2 linked regions of the Pelodiscus sinensis genome follow. Each later gene encodes a partner of the first gene's protein in a complex. Links are inferred from orthologs where the notes say so. Each region holds a gene or a part of one and is shown on either strand. Other genes may lie near its edges.

The links.
Region 2: the proteins of PRKAA2 (region 1) and PRKAG1 are in contact, whole or in part, in a crystal structure (PDB 6B1U), measured with the Homo sapiens proteins. The link is inferred for Pelodiscus sinensis from reciprocal best matches to the Homo sapiens genes PRKAA2 and PRKAG1. Residues at the interface, in NP_006243.2 of Homo sapiens: Asp329, Asn330, Ile333, Met334, Ala337, Phe340, Tyr341, Leu342, His366, Pro367, Glu368, Arg369, Met370, Pro371, Pro372, Leu373, Ile374, Asn444, Val446, Thr447, Pro530, Arg531, Leu532, Gly533, Ser534, His535, Thr536, Met537, Asp538, Glu541; in NP_002724.1 of Homo sapiens: His36, Asp40, Leu41, Ile42, Pro43, Thr44, Ser45, Val50, Phe62, Leu64, Val65, Thr66, Gly68, Val69, Arg70, Trp75, Ser77, Lys78, Lys79, Gln80, Phe82, Pro158, Glu159, Ser160, Gly161, Asn162, Lys170, Arg171, Lys174, Phe175.

Annotation. Positions count from the first base shown.
Region 1 is NC_134719.1:12,982,371-12,990,980, reverse strand, and holds the start of PRKAA2 (5'-AMP-activated protein kinase catalytic subunit alpha-2), read right to left. Parts: upstream 3,413-8,610; 5' UTR 3,349-3,412; coding exon 3,255-3,348; intron 1-3,254. UniProt on the Homo sapiens protein: Catalytic subunit of AMP-activated protein kinase (AMPK), an energy sensor protein kinase that plays a key role in regulating cellular energy metabolism.
Region 2 is NC_134729.1:4,977,748-4,986,199, forward strand, and holds the start of PRKAG1 (5'-AMP-activated protein kinase subunit gamma-1), read left to right. Parts: upstream 1-5,015; 5' UTR 5,016-5,150; coding exon 5,151-5,159; intron 5,160-7,936; coding exon 7,937-7,985; intron 7,986-8,437; coding exon 8,438-8,452. UniProt on the Homo sapiens protein: AMP/ATP-binding subunit of AMP-activated protein kinase (AMPK), an energy sensor protein kinase that plays a key role in regulating cellular energy metabolism.

The sequences.
Region 1 (8,610 bases):
TCACCATTTTGTTTCCAATTTCCTCTACATGCACGACTGACAGTTTGAACACTCTATTCTTACCCACAAGCAAAGGAGGAATGTAGAAGTCAGGGTTAGAAATGGCTGAGTATGGTTAGTAAAGAGTGGGTTGTGATCTGGGGCTGGAGAAGGCTGTCACCTCAGCTTGGGGGATTGAGTTGCAGGGTCCAGGACAGGGTATAGGTACAGAAGAGGATTTTTCACCTGGAAGAGCAATCTACGAAGGGTGCAGGTTCTGGGAAGGGGCTGTGACCTGGAGGAGGGTGTAGAAGGTTTGGGTTGTGACCTAGGGCAGGGAGCTGGCAGGGATGGAGTGGGGTGCCAGGTGCAAGCTCTGGCTGGGAGACATGTATCATAGTAGGTGGCTCCTGGCCAGCAGCCCAGTAGAACCCTCAGGCAAACTCTCTGCCTGCTGTGGACCCACATGTTGCTCAAAGCAACCAGCTACTGGGGCCAGAGTGTGCATCTCTGCACACCACACACTCCTTGGGAGGGCCTCTGGGCACAGCCTATACTGCACGCATGACCCAGACAGCTCCCATTGGCTGGTTTCTGGCCAATGGGAGCTGCGAGGATGGTGCTGGGGGCAGGGGCAGGGCATGGAGATCCCATGGTGGCCCCAGCAGCTGGCCATTTTGAGTGGCATGAGGGAGTCCCATAGAGACACGGGATGCTGGCGGCCCAGAGCATCATGGTAGGCCAGATCCAGCCCATATTTTACCCACATTTGCTCTAGAGTGCCTCCTGGGCAGCAGAGACATATCAGCTTTAGGAAGGCCACACACTAAGTACAGAGGGAAGCATTAAAGTGAATACCCTATGATGACAGGTAGCAAATGAAAAAATCTGGGATGGTGGTCAGGAGATTATAGGTGCCTCTAAAAGAAATAATCCCCAACACTGCAACTGTCCTATGAAAATCAGTGCATCTGGTCAGCTGAACACCCTACTCTTCTGAGGTGAACAATAGGGAGGCTACCATTCCGTTTTAAACACCACAGTCTTCCTTTAACCAAGTTGCTAGCCTGCCTGGCTCCTGCAGCCTGGCATCTATGTGGATTATGTTGTGCTGCTGCCTCAACACTCCCCAGGCAAATATTTCCAGCCTTGGTTGCCAGGTCTGGTTCCCTGCATAGCAATCCCAGGCACTGTGTTTTCTGGCAATAGTAACCAACAGTAAGAAGGCCTGACCCCTGCTGTGGCTAAGGCACAGCTACCACCGAGCATGCACAGGGGAACTGGATTCCTGATGCTGCCTGACTGGCCTGATTTATGAAGGACAGGGAAAGGCTCCACTGTGGAATACAGGCACTGGAGTGGTGAGGGAGACACAGAGTAGTTACATAGTAACTACAGGTTGTACAGGCCTCACCTGTTGCACTGGGCACAGGCAAGAGTGTACATGGGAGAGGGAGTGCACAGGGCTTCATGCAGTGTATCCATGAGAGGGAGGGAGCAGTGCGGGCCTGTGGAGGAAACCAGGTGGCAAGAAGGGAATTGCACTATGCTCGTGCTGGGTCAGGGAATGGGAGGTTGCATGTACTGGGGCAAGGGGGTGGGACTGCATGGCTTGTGCCCTGGGAAAGGAAGCATGGGGGCTGCATAGGGCCTGCACAAGAGGCTGCCAGTGGGTACCCTGAGGGATGACAGCAAGGAGGCTGCACAATGCCTGCACTGATGGGAAGGTGGGCTGCTCCGTACATGACCTGGGGGTTTGAGCTAAGGGAGCTGCATGCTGCATATATGGAGAGGGCAGGGCTGCCCAGTGGGTGCTTTGGGGGATGGGAGCAAGGGGGCTGCCCAGTGGCTGCCCTGGCCTAGGGGAAGGAAGTGAGGAGGTTGCACGGTGCATGCAGGGGAGGGGAGCTGCCCGGTGTGGGCACTAGGGGTGCAAAGGGGCTGACCTGCCCTAGGGATGGGGCTGGGGAGGGGAATGAGGAGGCTGCATGGTGCATGTAGGGTGGGGGAACGCATCCCCAGGGGGTGTCTTGGGGGAAGGGAGTGAGGGGACTTCTCTGTGGCTGCCCTGGCCCTAGGGGCATATGCACAAGGGAGGGGGCAGCTGCCCCATGGATGCCTTGCGTATGGGACTGCATGCACGGGAGGGGTGCACGGGGGGGGTGCTTGAGGGAAGGGAGCGAGGTGGCGACCCGGGACGGGGGTGGGACTGGGGAAAAGAGCGACTGGGTTGCATGGTGCATGCACGGGAGGAGGGGGCCCGGAGGGTGCCTCAGGGACGGGAGCGAGGGGGCTGCCTGGCTGGGGGGGGGGGGACTGGGGCTGGGAGCGAGGGGGCTGCCTGGCCTGGGGTGGGGGAATGGGGATGGGAGCGAGGGGGCTCCCTGGCCGGGAGGTGGTGGAAGGGGGACTGAGGACGGGAGCGAGAGGGCTGCCCAGCAGGAGGGGGGGGGACGGGAGCGAGGGGGCTGCCCGGCCGGAGGGGGGGACGGGAGCGAGGGGGTGCCCGGCCGGAGGGGGGGGCCGGGAGCGAGGGGGTGCCCGGCCGGAGGGGGGGGGACGGGAGCGAGGGGGCTGCCCGGCCGGAGGGGGGGGGGACGGGAGCGAGGGGGTGCCCGGCCGGAGGGGGGGGGACGGGAGCGAGGGGGCTGCCCGGCCGGAGGGGGGGCCGGGAGCGAGGGGGTGCCCGGCCGGAGGGGGGGACGGGGGCGGGAGCGAGGGGGTGCCCGGCCGGAGGGGGGGGGCCGGGAGCGAGGGGGTGCCCGGCCGGAGGGGGGGGGCCGAGAGCGAGGGGGTGCCCGGCCGGAGGGGGGGGGCCGGGAGCGAGGGGGTGCCCGGCCGGAGGGGGGGGCCGGGAGCGAGGGGGTGCCCGGCCGGAGGGGGGGGGCCGGGAGCGAGGGGGTGCCCGGCCGGAGGGGGGCCGGGAGCGGGGGGGTGCCCGGCCTGGGGGGGGCCGGGAGCGAGGGGGTGCCCGGCCGGAGGGGGGGGGCCGGGAGCGAGGGGGTGCCCGGCCGGAGGGGGGGGCCGGGAGCGAGGGGGTGCCCGGCCGGAGGGGGGGGGAGCGAGGGGGTGCCCGGCCGGAGGGGGGGGCCGGGAGCGAGGGGGTGCCCGGCCGGAGGGGGGCGGGAGCGAGGGGGTGCCCGGCCGGAGGGGGTGCCCGGCAGCGGGGCGAGGGGCAGTGCGCGCAGCAGAGGCGAGGGCTGCTCCCAGCTCGGCGCCGCTTCTCCCGCGCCGGGCGATGCCGATTCCCCGCCGCGCCCCGCCCGCTACTCAGCTCTTGACTTTGCCGAAGGTGCCGACCCCGAGGGTGTCCCCCAGCACGTAGTGCCCGATCTTCACCCGCCCGTCGTGCTTCTGCTTCTCAGCCATCTTCGCCGCGCGCGGACCACAATGCAGCAGGGCCGGGGGGGGGGGGGGGGCGCGGGCACAGGGGCGGCCCGGGCAGGGCGATGCCCGCCGGGCGGGGGGCTGGCACGGTGCACGCACGGGAGGGTGGGGAGAGGGGATGGCATCGTGCCAGGCTTGGGGCTGTCGGAGTGGCACGGCGCCGGGCCGGGAGGGGCAAGGGGGCTGCATAGGGGATGGAGTTTAGGGTGCCAGGCTGAGGTGCAGGTGCCAGGCTGAGGGTTGGGAGCCATCCTGGGGGAGGTAGGAATGGCAGTGTCAGGCAGGGGGCATGGTGCCTGCATGGGAGGTTGCCAGGCTTAGGGGGTGGGTGCCAGATTTGAGGTGGGTATAGGAATGATGCGGTGTCGGGCTGGGAGGGAAGCATGGTGCATGTGGGGCAGGTGCCATGCTGAGGTGTGGGTGCCAGACTCCGGGGCAGGTAGGAATGGCACTGGGTGAGGCCGGGCGGGAGGCAGCATGCATGGTACATGCACAGGGGGAGGTGGGGTGCATATCACGCTCTGGTGGGGAGGAAGAATCGCAGAGTTGGAGTAGGAGATAGGCATGGTTCACATGTTGGTATTGGGGATGTTTGGGGAGCATGGTGTCCCTAGTATCTGTTTGCCAGAAGCTGGGAAAGGGTGATAGGGATGAATCACTTGTTAGTTGCCTGTTCTGTTCATTCCCTCTGGGGCACCCGGAACTGGCCACTGTCAGAAGACAGGATACAGGGCTAGATGGGCCTTTGGGCTGACCCAGTCTGGATGTTCTTATGTGTCAGGTCTGGCAATGTAAAAGGAGGGTGGGAGAGGTACATGCTAGTCTGGGAAAGTGGGTAGCACAGTCCATGACAGCCTGGGGGAGAGGATGGGGACCAAGGAACAGTGGAAGATGTGGAATGGGGACATTGTAAGATCAAGCTGGAGGAGGGATTCCAACTGGGGAGGAAGGGGTAGCAAAGTGAGATGGAGGTTGGGAACATTGTGCCAAGATGATGGGGAAGAGATTTGGCAGTGCTAAGCTGGACAGAAGGCAGGAGAGGCTGGGGAGGTGGATGCAGGGGTTATTGTCAGGCCAGAAGGAGGGCATGGGGCTAGGTCAGTGTCTGGTGGGAGAAACATGGGTGCCAGACTGAGGGAAAAATTGATGCAGCTTGGAGGAGGAAGACTGCATGATACTAGGCTAGGGTCAGGGGGTGGGGAGAGTGGTGCTAAATTATGAAGATGGGATACAGTGCTGCGACTGCCAGCCCAAAGATAAGGCACTGAGCTTGGGGTAGGGGTACCAGATCACACAGGTTTGATGCCATACCATAGAGGGAAGAGGAGACAAGACTGTCGGGGGGGAGGGGAGTGGGAGGGGAGTGGGAGGGGAGGGAGCAGTACTCTATTTTGCATGAACCACTTGCTCTGTAACCAATTGCCTAGCCTTAAACTAGTATTTAGGTGCCAGTGTTTGATGAACAGTAGTACTGAGCTATATTTTAATGGCCTGGATGCAGGAGCATTTCTGTGGTATTTAAGTAGGACAACAGAATAACAATAACACAGGAATAGATATATTAATAATCAGAAATCTGTGCAGCAGTTAAAGCCACCTTCCTTGCCCATTGATCCTATTCCCAAACATGCTTCTCAGTTGAGTGGCAAGGGCATATTTCAGGCCATGTGGAAGAAAGCATGGATGTGATTGCATAAGAAACTAAGGCGTTCGTGAAAACCCTCTTCTCCTTGCCCTACATACAAAATCCATATTTGTTCTGTCCCTGTCCCCTGATCTGCATCTACACAGCAGGGCTTAACTCGAAATAAGCTTTGCAAATTGCACTACGTCAATTGCGTAGCTTATTTTGAAATAGCTTATTTCGAAATTGGGCGCGTCTATACAGCACTGATTTCAAAATAGAGCACTCTTCCTCCAACTTCCCTTACTCCTCGTACAATGTGGGTTACAGGAGTCGGAGTAAGAAGTCCTCCAGCTTGACAGTATTTCAACATAATTTTGAAATAACTGCCTGCTGTATAGACATGGATGAAGTTATTTCAAAATCCCAAAGCTGTAGACTCCTTGGGGCAGAGATTGACCCATCTTGACTAGCTGGAAAGCCTAGCATTGAGAGAGTGCGGTTATAAACAAACCAGTAATCATAAACATTAGTGACGCTTTTCCATTTCAGCACTGAAGCAATCACACATGAGCATGTCATGTAATAACAGATAACACAGCTGTTCCAAGCAGGCTATTTTTACTCATTCTTGTTAGAATTGCTCTCAGAAACTAGACAGATAATTTTAAACTTGCTATTTATAACCCAGACTAACCACCTGAAGGCTATGCTTATTAATTGATAATTAGGCCTTGTCTCTAATGAAGATTTTCCCCTTCTTGCTAGTTAAAACAAAACAGAACCTCATGTTACACAGTAAAAGAATTGGCAAGGAGGCTGTGTAGGAGCTTTAGATTAACAAGACTAATGTCTTTCTTTGCAGCTCACTCCCTTGGCACCCCGGTAGCAGCATCACTCTCAGACTGGTGCAGAACCTGGATAAAAGGTGCTTGTGTAACAACACAGCTATGCTTGTGTAACAACACAGCCGTACAAGCCACCTGTGGGCTTTGAAGCTGTGACCTCTGGAACTAAAAGCAAAAACACCCTTTACTGTCCAAATAAAAGAAATAGGTTTTTAATCCCTGAGATGGTAACAGACTCTCCAATGTCTAGGCCAGTCTGCATGGAGGCTACATCTACACAGTTGACTTCTTCCGCAAAAGCCTATGCAAAGGAAGCGCGGGTTAGCAAATTTCCGCTCTTCATTTGCATAATTAATTAGGAGCCATTTTTGCACAAGAGTGTTTTGCGCAAAAAGGCGCCATCTACACAATGCCTTTTTGCACAAAAAAACCCTCTTGCCCAAGAGCCGTTCTTCCTCATTTTTTCAGGAAGAACGGCTCTTGCACAAGTGGGGGGTTTTGCGCAAAAAGGCACTGTGTAGACAGTGCTTTTTTGCACAAAAACCTCTTGCACAAAAATGGCTCCTAATTAATTATGCAAATGAAGCGTGGCAATATACTAATTCGTGCTTCATTTGCATAGGCTTTTGTGGAAGAGGGAAGCTGTTTAGACATAGCCTGGGAGGGAAATTCATTTTAAGATACGCAACTGCAGCTATTAGACTTGGCTAGCTGGAGTGGACATTCCTTAAATTGAATTTTTCTGGAGACACCACTCTGGGAGGTCAATGGGAGAAACTTTCCAATCTATTTTTCTTATTCCTTATGACCCCATGGAGTATTGGGGCTGATGGGGACATCCTCAACATTTTATTTTGTGGGTCCTTACTAGACCTGCTAAATCGTACCCTGGAAGATCGAATTACTGGAGCATAAGTATAATAAGACTAGTATGTGGTGTTGCCTCTAGAGGGGGGAAAAAAGCTGCATTAAATTTTGTCCCCTGCCAAATTCACAGCCATAAAAAACACATCATGGACTGTGAAATAGGGTCTCCCTCAGTGAAACCTGGTCTTTTGGGTGCTTTCACCTTATACTATACGGATTTCATGGAGGAGACCAGCATTTGTCAAAGTGGGAGCCCTGCATCAAAAGGGAGTTGTGGGGGGAATCACAAAACTATTGGGGTCAGTCATGGTGCTGCCACCCTTACTTCTGCACTGCCTTCAGTAGGAATGTGGACGTGTAACTAGTTACCCAGGAGCAGCAGGCAGAGGGCTGCTCCAACCCCACTGGGTCCCTGTGTGGGGCTGGGAGCTGGCAGTTCGCCCCACGTGACTGGGGCTGGAAGAGGGAGCCCTACAGGCTGGGCGCTGACCCAGCCCGGCTGAAGTGGTTCCTCCTCCCCACCCCGGGATCCTGCTTAGTTGGTTAACTGGATAAACGTTAGGTTAACCTAACATTTAAATGGTTAACTGATTAATTGGAATTTTATATCCCTAGTCTGCAGATCTGGCCAGTTATAGAGTAAGGATGTTAAGTATCATGTAATTGACTAATCGAATAGTCTATGAATTTTTGCATTGACTATTCATTTAGTTGATAGGGCAGCACTGCCCCTTTGAAATGCCGCTGTGGCATTTCACCCTGGGCTCCAAGTGGCACTGCCTCTTTGAAATGCCACGAGGAGCCAGATCCGGGCTCCCTGCGGCATTCAAAATGATAGAACCGCACGGAGCCTGCGTCAACTGGGGAGTCCCCAGCTGATCCCAGGCTCCACGCAGCGCTGCCCCTTTGAAACACCACAGCAGCGACATTTCAAAGCAGCAGTGCTGCACGAAGCAGTTGACCCTGGGTTCTGTGTGGTGCTGCCACTTTGAAGTACACCTCTTTTCTCCCCTACCCTTTCTTTCTCTGTCTGATACAGGCAGCCGGGGGGAAGTGACTTGTTGACTGTCCTGTCGATAAGCATTTGCTTATCGGATAGTCAAGTAGTCAACTAATCCTTAACTTTCCTAGCATAAAGCAGTGGTATAGGCAAACTGGGACACTGGGGTGAGCTGGAAATGAGAGGGGGCTAGGATAGAAGCCAGTGGGGGCCCCACTTCCCCTCCTCCAGCCCTCTGGGGGCCATAGACAGTCTTGCCAGGGGGCTTGAGAAAATGGGGGGGAGACTGAAGAAGTATGCACCCTCACCTGCGCTGCCCTCCAGCCCACCAGTCCTGCTGGGCAGTGGGGTTCGAGGCTTGCCCCCACTCTGGCCACTGAGCTTCAGCACTCCAGCTAGGGGAGAAGGTCGGGCTGCGGGGTTTGTCCTGCGCCCCCTACCTGGCATTGCTGCCAGTGAGTGGGGTTGATGGCTTGCTCCGCTCTGGCACTCCAGCTAGGGAGTGCCTAAGTCCTGCTCCTTGGCAAGAGTGCTGGGCAGGTGGAGCAGGGCAAGTCCCTGACCTGGCTCTGTGTCTGTACTGGCGGATGGGCAGAGCAGGACAAGTTCCGCTCTGCAGCCCTCTCTCTCCAGCTGGGCAAGGCCCTTCAACCCAAGACTGCTCCTCAGCAACATCTCTGGACAGGCTGAGTGGCCAGGACCTGAGGCAGGAGAAAAGCTTGGACCAGAGGGTGGGGCTGGATGATAAGTGAATGGGCCCTGGACCACCCATGGCTACACCCCTGCTGCCAAGTGGCAGCTCATGGCTGGGTGCCCAGCTCTGAAGGCAGTGCCCTGCCAGCAGCAGCACAGAAGTACAGGTGGCAATGCCAGACTAGGCAATCCTTTTTACTATGAGGGATCAG
Region 2 (8,452 bases), on another chromosome or scaffold:
GACCTTGGTTCTCTCCCTAGCCACTCCAGCCTGGCGCGCCGTGGCCCTGGCTCTCTGCTGGCAGCGTGCTGCTCTCCCCAGGTGGGCGGCTGCAGCGCCACAAGTGGAACTGATGAACTGGCAACTCAGGGTTTTCTTTGTTTTGTTTTGCGAGGAGGACGGGGCCTGTGGCATCAACAAAACCAGCTCTGTCCGCCTTGCTCACTGAAGCACCTGTAAATAACTGGATGGATGCGGGGCGAGTGGGGTGCTCCCCCTCGGATCTGGGGTGGGGCGGCCGCATTCTCGGACCCACGGGGAGGTCAGATCCAGTCTGTTTTTTTTTTTAAAAAAAAAACAAAACTAATAATATTTGCTCGCTAACTTACCAAGGTAACAAAGAGACTCCTTGAGCTTGACAATCCCAAAACTCCCAGCCCCGCTCTGCTGGGCTCTCTGGAGACAGACAGAGCTCGCTTGGGTTTCGGTTTATTTCTTGTTCTGTCAATGGAAGCACCGTGAGCATGTGAAGGAGGCGCCAGCTGCCAGAGCAGAGCTGGGGAGAGCCGTGTGCAGAAAAGTCCCCCCTCCCCCATGGACGCAAGGAGCATCTGCACCCAAACCTACCTCATTTTAAGTGTTAGATTCTGCTGTTTTCAATGTGACCCTCCCTCCGAGACTGACCACATGCAACCTTCCTAGTTCTGAATGAGAACTAGTGGCAGTGGGCGGAGCCTGGGGAATCCAAGGTGTGGCAGTGGGTGGAGCCTAGGGCAGCCTGAGGGAGATTGTAGCCTTGCACGCAGACCTGGAAGGAGAGAGACCCTAAAGTATCTCCATCCCCCTCCAGCTGGGAAGTTGAGTGTTTCAGGATCCCTCCCCCCCACCCCCCAAGAGCCCCCCCAGTTGGATGCTCGGGTGTTCCTGGCTGCTCTCCCACCATGCACAAAGCTGGGCACTCCGGAGAGGTGGCGGTTTGAGGCTTTACTTAGAATGTGCCAAGACCCTCCCCTTGCTTCCACCCACCTCCCCAGCATGGCACAAGCAGCCGCCGAGAGCCCCCCCAGCACTGAGCACCCTGTCAAGCCTCTGGGTTTGGGGGCCGAGCTCCAGGAATCCTCAGTTGAGGCAGAGAGCTGGCTGCCACCGCCGCACTCCTGAGTTTGGCTGTGGGGTAGGGGGGCTGTTCTGGGTCCTGCCCCAGCCACTCCGCTCCCCCACCCACCAGGCCCCCTTTTGCTACCAGAACTGCTGCTCTAGGCTGGCCTCTGGAGGCTGCCTGTGTCTGTCATGTCGGCATGGTATGGGGGGTATTTATCTATTTATACCTTAGCTTGTATATATTAGAATCTATGGGGGCTCTCTTCTGTGCTCTGCTTGGCTGAGATCTTGGACTGTGGGGGAGGGGAGCATGTCCCATAACTAAACTGGGGGAAGCAAATCTCTTCCCTGCTCGCTGTTCTTGTCTTGTTAGCTAGAAAACCCGTATGTGACAGGTCCAGGGGCCTCCTGCCAGGGGCGGACTCGCTGGGGAGAAGAGAGGATTGGTGGGCATTACAAACTGGGCAGCGCTTCTCCTGCTCTGGCCTTCCCCACCACAGCATCCTATTGCTCGTCCAGGAGGGCCCCTCAAAGACTGCTGTAAACCAGATGGGGCAGGAGGTCCTGCTCTCACTGCCCTTTTCCATTAAACTGTAGGGTTTGACATCTCTTAACGCACAAAGGCATGACACCCCTAGTCCCCCAGGAAAGAATCAGAAACAAACTTCTGAGCTTGCTCTTCTCTGCTCTCCCATGCCACGGCTGCTTGACTCAGCTGAGGAGGGTTCTGTTTTGTATTAAACTTCCTTGCTCTCTTGGAGTGTGAGGGGGAATGAAATGAAGTGAGATTATTTTGGGGGGGGGAATGAAATCTGGGGGCAGGGAGCCCAGGGCATTTTATGTTTTTAAATCAAAAGATTTTGAGTGAGAGAGAAGAGCTGTCACATTTTTAAAAAGCTGCTTCCGCAACTATTCAAAGCTGCAAAAGGTTTAAAATGAAATGTTAAAACTTGGGGTGAGGGCAGGGAATAATAAAATAAAAAATATACAAAAAATTTAAATTTAAAACTGTAAATAAAATGGGAGCTGTGTAGAGAAAAAAAAACGTTTTTACCAATAATAAAACCACTGGATGTTATTTTAAAATAAAATATGCGTGAGAGAGAAAAAGCCAGTATAACTTTTTGTTTTTTTTCCATTAACTTGGAAGGCTGTAAAGTGTATAAAATAAAAAATTTTAAAAAGTACTACAAAAAAGGATTAAAGCTGGGAGAGAGTAAAGAACAGAATATAGCAGGTTGTCTGACTTTTTAGACTATGGTTAGAGTATAAAATAGTTCTGTAGATTTTAGCTGGGGAGGGAGGAAAACCTATACAGTTTTTAATTTTTATATAAACTATAATCCAGTCCCAGAGCTGACATTTGATTTTTTTTAAAGTTCTCTGCTTGTAAAATTGCATTCAAAGCCTTGTCCAATACTTCTGTTTGTTTACAGTTGCAGATATTATATTTTAAGTTTTACCTTTTATGATCCTGAAATAACCATTTATTATTTTGTTGGTTTTTTAAAAAAAATAAAGTTTAAAATAAAACTATGGCAAGTGTGGACTCTGTGAGGAATCTTCCTTTGTGTTTGAGGTTTTATTTTGTGTGTGTGTGTGTATCCTGTACAGCGAGGTTGTCCTTCGTAACCAAGAAAAGAATGGAGGGGAAATAAAATTATTCCTTTTTTTTTAAAGAAAAACAACAAAAAAATGAACTTGTATGTGGCATGTTTTGTATTGGATATAATTTTGAAATGTATATAATTTATGTTTAAAGAGGCAAAGAGTGCGTTTCAAATTTTGCTTCTGAGTTTGTTTTTAAATAAAAAAATAAAGGTGCATTTTAAATACTGGGTGATCTTGGACTTCTGCTTGTGTGTGTTCTCTCCCCCACTTCCTCAGTTGAAATGTGGCTCAAGTTCCTGGCTCCTGCTTCCCATACGGTCTTCTGGGAAGAGATTTTGGAGACCGTCACTCTGGCCCAGTGCTGCATAGGCGCTGGAGGTGCCCAAAGGATCATAACTCTTCCCCTCCCTCCCTCCAATGTTCAGGACCGGTTGCTCCTTCCCTGCTGCTATAACAAGGGGCAGGTGCACCCGTCCCAGCCTGTGCCCAAGGCTGCACTCTGCAGGAATGCCTGGAGTTGGTGCAACACATAACCCAGGAACTGGCCCCTACCTGGGGGCCCCATACTACAGAAAGGATGTGGATGCATTGGAGAGGGTCCAGCGGAGGGCGACCAAAATGATAAGGGGGCTGGTGTGCATGACCTAAGAGGAGAGACTGAGAGATCTGGTAGCTGAGTTAGTCTGTACAGAAAAAAACCAACAAATGGTCTGGTAGCACTTTATAGACTAACAAAACATGTAGGTGATATCATGAGCTTTCGTGGGCACAGCCCGCTTCTTCGGTCATCTGCAGAAGCGGGCTGTGCCCACGAAAGCTCATGATACCATCTATATGTTTTGTTAGTCTATAAAGTGCTACCAGACCATTTGTTGGGTGTGGGGGGAGGGGGGTGCGCTGGGTTTGCAGAAGAGAAGAGGGAGGGGGGGTTTGACAGCAGAGCGGTCCTGAAGGGAGGTTCCACAGGGGATGGAGAGTGGCAGAAGAAGGAGCAATGGGCTCAAGGTGCAGTGGGGGAGGGGGCAGGTGGGAGAGGAGGAAAAATGATTCCCCAGGCGGGCAGGGCGGTGCTGGGCGGGTTCCCTAGGGAGGGGGGGAGGGACTCTCCAGCCCCAGCGGGGCCGAGGTCCCGGCTGGATGCAGCCCTGGCGGGGGTGACCGAGTGGGGCTGGTCCCGCCTTGGGCAGAGGCCTGGACTCGATGGCGCCTGGGTCCTGGGGTTCATAGACCTTAAGGTCAGAAGGGACCATTATGATCATCTAGTCTGACGCCCTGCACAGTGCAGGCCACAGAATCTCACCCACCCCTCTTAGAATAATCCTCTCACCTATATCTCCGATATTGAAGCCTTCAAATACTTTGAAGGTCCCAAGATGCAGAGAATCCTCCAGCTGTGATCTGTGCCCCATGCTACAGAGGAAGGCGAAAAACCTCCAGGGTCTCTGCCAATCTACCCCGGAGGAAAATTCCTTCCCGACCCCAAATATGGCGATCAGCTAAACCCTGAGCATGTGGGCAAGACTCACCAGCCAGACACCCAGAAAGTTCTCTATCATCCCTCCATTGACCTATTTCCCACTGATAATGAATGGTCAATTAGTTACCAAGATCCTGTTATGTTCTCAAACCATCCCCTTATCATAGAATCATAGAACTGGAAGAGACCTCAGGAGGTCATCAAGTCCAGCCCCCTGCTCTAGGCAGGACCAACCCCAACTAAATCAACCCAGCCAGGGCTTTGTCAAGCCGAGACTTAAACACCTCTAGGGATGGAGACTCCACTACTTCCCTAGGGAACCCAGCCCAGTGCTTCCCCACCCTCCTAGGGAAACAGCTTTTCCTAAAATCCAACCTGGACCCCCCCCCACTGCAGCTTGAGCCCATTGCTCCTTGTTCTGCATCTGTCACTACTGAGACCAGCCTCTCTGGACCCCCCTCCAGGGAGCTGCAGGCTGCTCTCAAATCCCCCCCCCCCCCCCCGCTCTTCTCTTCTGCAGACTGAACAGACCCGAGTCTCTCAGCCTCTCCTCGTAGGTCACGTGCTCCAGCCCCCTCAGCATTTGGGTCGCCCCCCCCCCCCCCCGCTGGCCCCTCTGCAAAGCGCCACGTCCAGTCTGTGGGGGGGGGGGGGGCAGAACGGGACCCAACGCTCCAGATGCGGCCTCCCCAGCGCCGAAGGAGACTTCGAGGCTCCTGCCCCGCCCCGCCCCCTGCTGGCCGGGGGGTTCCGCGGGGCCGCCCCGGCTCTCGTGAACCGGAAGGTCGTGCAGGCTCCGGAAGGGGAGGGGGGGCAAAGGTCACCGGCCTCAGGCGTCAATTCCTCCCCCGCGCGGCCTACTTCCGGTCACATGACCTCTGCGGGCGGAAATGGCTGAAGTAGATCCGGGCGGAAGTGACCCGGTCCCGTTGCTGCCCCCGGGCGTTCGGCGGCAGCGAGACGAGCCGCGGCTGGAGCGGCCATGGAGGCGGTAAGAGCCCGACCCGGCCGGGGTGGGGGGGCCCGGCGCCCCCGGGATCGGGCACCCGCGTCCCTTCCTCCGCCAGCCCCGGATCGGGCCCCGCCTCCCCCCGGATCGGGGCCGCCTCCCGCGTCCTCCGCCAGCCCCGGATCGGGCCCCGCCTCCCCCCGGATCGGGGCCGCCTCCCGCGTCCTCCGCCAGCCCCCGGATCGGGCCCCGCCTCCCCCCGGATCGGGGCCGCCTCCCCCCTTCCCTCCCGCGTCCTCCGCCAGCCCCGGATCGGGCCCCGCCTCCCCCCGGATCGGGGCCGCCTCCCCCCTTCCCTCCCGCGTCCCCCGCCTCCCCCCGGATCGGGCCCCCCTCCTGCGTTCGCCCGCCCGGATCGAGCCCTCCGTCCTCCACGATCGGGCCCCCCCATCCCCCGATCGGCCCCCCCTTCTCTCCCTCATCTTTCGACACCCCCCTGGATCGGGCCCTCGCTCCCTCCCCCCCATAGGGCCCCCTCCTGCGTTCGCCTCCCCCCCCCCCCGGATCGGGCCCCCAAAGGCCAAGCCGCCAGGAACCGAACAGGGCTGGGGCTGGGGCTGGGGTGAGGGTGCCCTGGGCCGGGCCAGCGCAGTGACCCCCGAGGTGGCCCTTGGGCTGCTGCGTTTCCCTGGCCGGCCACCAACTTGAGAGTCCGGGGTCAGGGCAGTTTTCCGACTGGGTGACGGGAGCTGGGTGTTTCTCTTCCTCCCTCTGCCGCCCTGGCCCGTCCAGCTGGCGGGGAGCCTGGACTTTCCTGCCCAAAGCCCAGTGCGCTCCCCGGCGCCTGTGTCCCCGCTGGTCAGCTGTGACGTGTGTGCGCAGCCCTGCGGAGGGGCTCTGGGCTGTCCCGTGCCAGTGAAGCGAGTGGCACCCTGGCGCTGTGCACGGGAAAGGCCCCTGCCCAGCCTCCGCTGTGTTCAAGGCCCAACTCAAGTATCGCCTGGATCCCCCATCTCCCACTCCTGGGATTTTGCTGGGCTGAGCCAGGCGCTGTGGACTCATGTGCCTCAGCCCAGCTTCCCCCGTGCCCCAGCCAAGAGGCTGATGCATGCCAGGTTCTGGGCTCCTGGGCTGAAAGCAGCATTCCTGGCCTAGCCAGGCACGGGCAGGGGGCTAAATTCCCAGCATGCAGCCCAGGGCAGCCAATGGAGGTTGGAGAGTACCACGCCGGGCGGGACTTGCTCCCTGTTCCTTAGTGCTCATTCCAGCCCTGCTGCTTGGCTCCAGACACAGACCTGAGAGGTGCTGGGGGAGCATCTTCTGACTGGCCAAGCTGGGCCCTTTCAGGCATCCCCAAGGCCACGCTCCTCTGCAGCAGAGGCCAGGTGTGTGGCTGAAGCTGGGTGCTGGGAGGGGCAGCTCCAGCTGTTTGTTTTGGGCAGGCTGGAGCAATGCCCATCTTAAAGGGGCAGAGCCCTCTGCTTAGGGGTGTCCGGGAGTCTGCAGTCAGCCCGAGTCCCAGCGAGGCGACCACCTCTAGGGGGGTTAGCAAGATTGTGGCTGAGCGGCCAAGTCTGGTCTAAGTCCTGCCTGTGTGAAAATGGCCATGGTGGGATGAGCTAACAGGACTGGGCCTAGAGCCGCGGTGGTCTCTGGTCTCCAGCGCATCTGTGCTGAGATGCAGCTGGCCTGGCCTGATCCAGGACTGGCCGGTTCCCGGGCCCCGCCCTGGCAGCGGTTCACCTGATGGGGCAATGCTGCCAGGACGTGGCCGCTAGGTGCGTCAGAGCGCTAGGCTGCCTGTCGGAGGCATGCGAAGCGATTCCTGGGTGCGGTTTGTGAAGCGTAATTGGAGAGGAAGTAAGGCCCGCAGCTTCCTCCAGAGCCTGGCCAGCCCTGGGATGGAGCCAAGTTCTGCCTCGGAAAAGGAAAAGTGCGGCTTGGCTTTCTCTTCCCCTCCGCGAGCTCCCTGGCTGAGTGGGCCCTGCCAGCCCGATGCGGGGGGCAGTTACTGTCCCAGCCGGCTCCAAGAGCTAACAGTGCACTGGGGAAAGAGCAGTTTAGAGCAAGGGCTGGGAGCCGGGGCCCCTGGATTCCTTCCTCTCCTAAGGCTGCCTCCCTGTGTGGGCAAGTCGCTCTCCCAGTCAGCTGGGCCCAGCAACCGCTGGTGGGAGGAGCGGGGCTTCCCCTTGGGAGCAGGCAGGGGAAGGGAACCGGCTGCCCTGCATCCTGCGCTCCTTGCCCTGAGCGGGGAGGGTAGGCTCGGGCATGGTGCAGAGGGTCCCAGTGCCACTGCTTCCGGGGGGGGGGGGGGGGGGGGGGGGCTTTCCAAAATCTCCTTAACAAATCATTTGGAGGTGCTGCAGCAGCAGGGCCGCGGGGGGGGGGGGGGGGGGCGGTTTGCCTGCAGCAGCGGGAGGGGGGGAGGCCGGTTTGCCCCCAGCAGCAGGGCCAGGGGGGAGAGGCTGGTTTGCCCACAGCAGCAGGGCCGGAGGGGGCTGGGGGGAGGCCGGTTTGCCCGCAGCAGCAGGGCCGGGGCGGGGGGAGAGGCCGGTTTGCCCACAGCAGCAGGGCCGGAGAGGGCTGGGGGGAAGCCGGTTTGCCCCCAGCAGCAGGGCTGAGCAGCAATTGGGGGATGCCCACATAGCAGGGCTGGGCAGGGGGAGGTCCCCGGGCTGCCATGCTCCCTTCCCAAAGCCCTGGGTCCGTGGTACAGGGCGGGAGTGCAGCTCGTCTCACGGCTCTGCTCTGCGGGAGGGTCTCGAGCTGGGGCGCAGGCCTGTGGCTTACCGGGGAGCCCCTGATTTCTGTGTCTGCAGGGCCCGGTTCCTGAGAGCGCTGCCCAGAAGTGCCCCCTGGCACCGGAAGGTGAGGGCTGGTTCCCCGGGGGGTGGGTTGTGTCGGGCGGGAAGGCCCCAGCCCTGTGGTATCCAGACCGGCCCTGGCAGGGCGATTTTTCAAGCCCATTGCTTCTTGCCCTGCCCTTGATGGCAGAATGATTTACCGCCCCCTGTGCCGGCCGGCGCAGTTCTTGGCCCCGGCTCCCCCCTCGGCAGGCTCACAGCCCGGGGCGCTCATGTCCTGGGGGCTGGTCTGTAGCTCTCCTGTCTCCCATGGGCCCTCCTCTCTGCCCTGCGAGTACCCAGGCAGGCTGGGAGCCTGAGCTAGGCCCGGGGTGTAGGGCCATGCAGCAGGGGATGTGCCCTGACTAGGAGCAAAACCCCAGGGCCCCCCATGGCCCCTCAGACTTTCCCCGCCGCAGTCATGGCTCCCCCCGCCCGGCTCACTGCTGAAGCAGGTCCCTGCTTTCCCCCCCCCAGAGGCAGAGCCGGGCA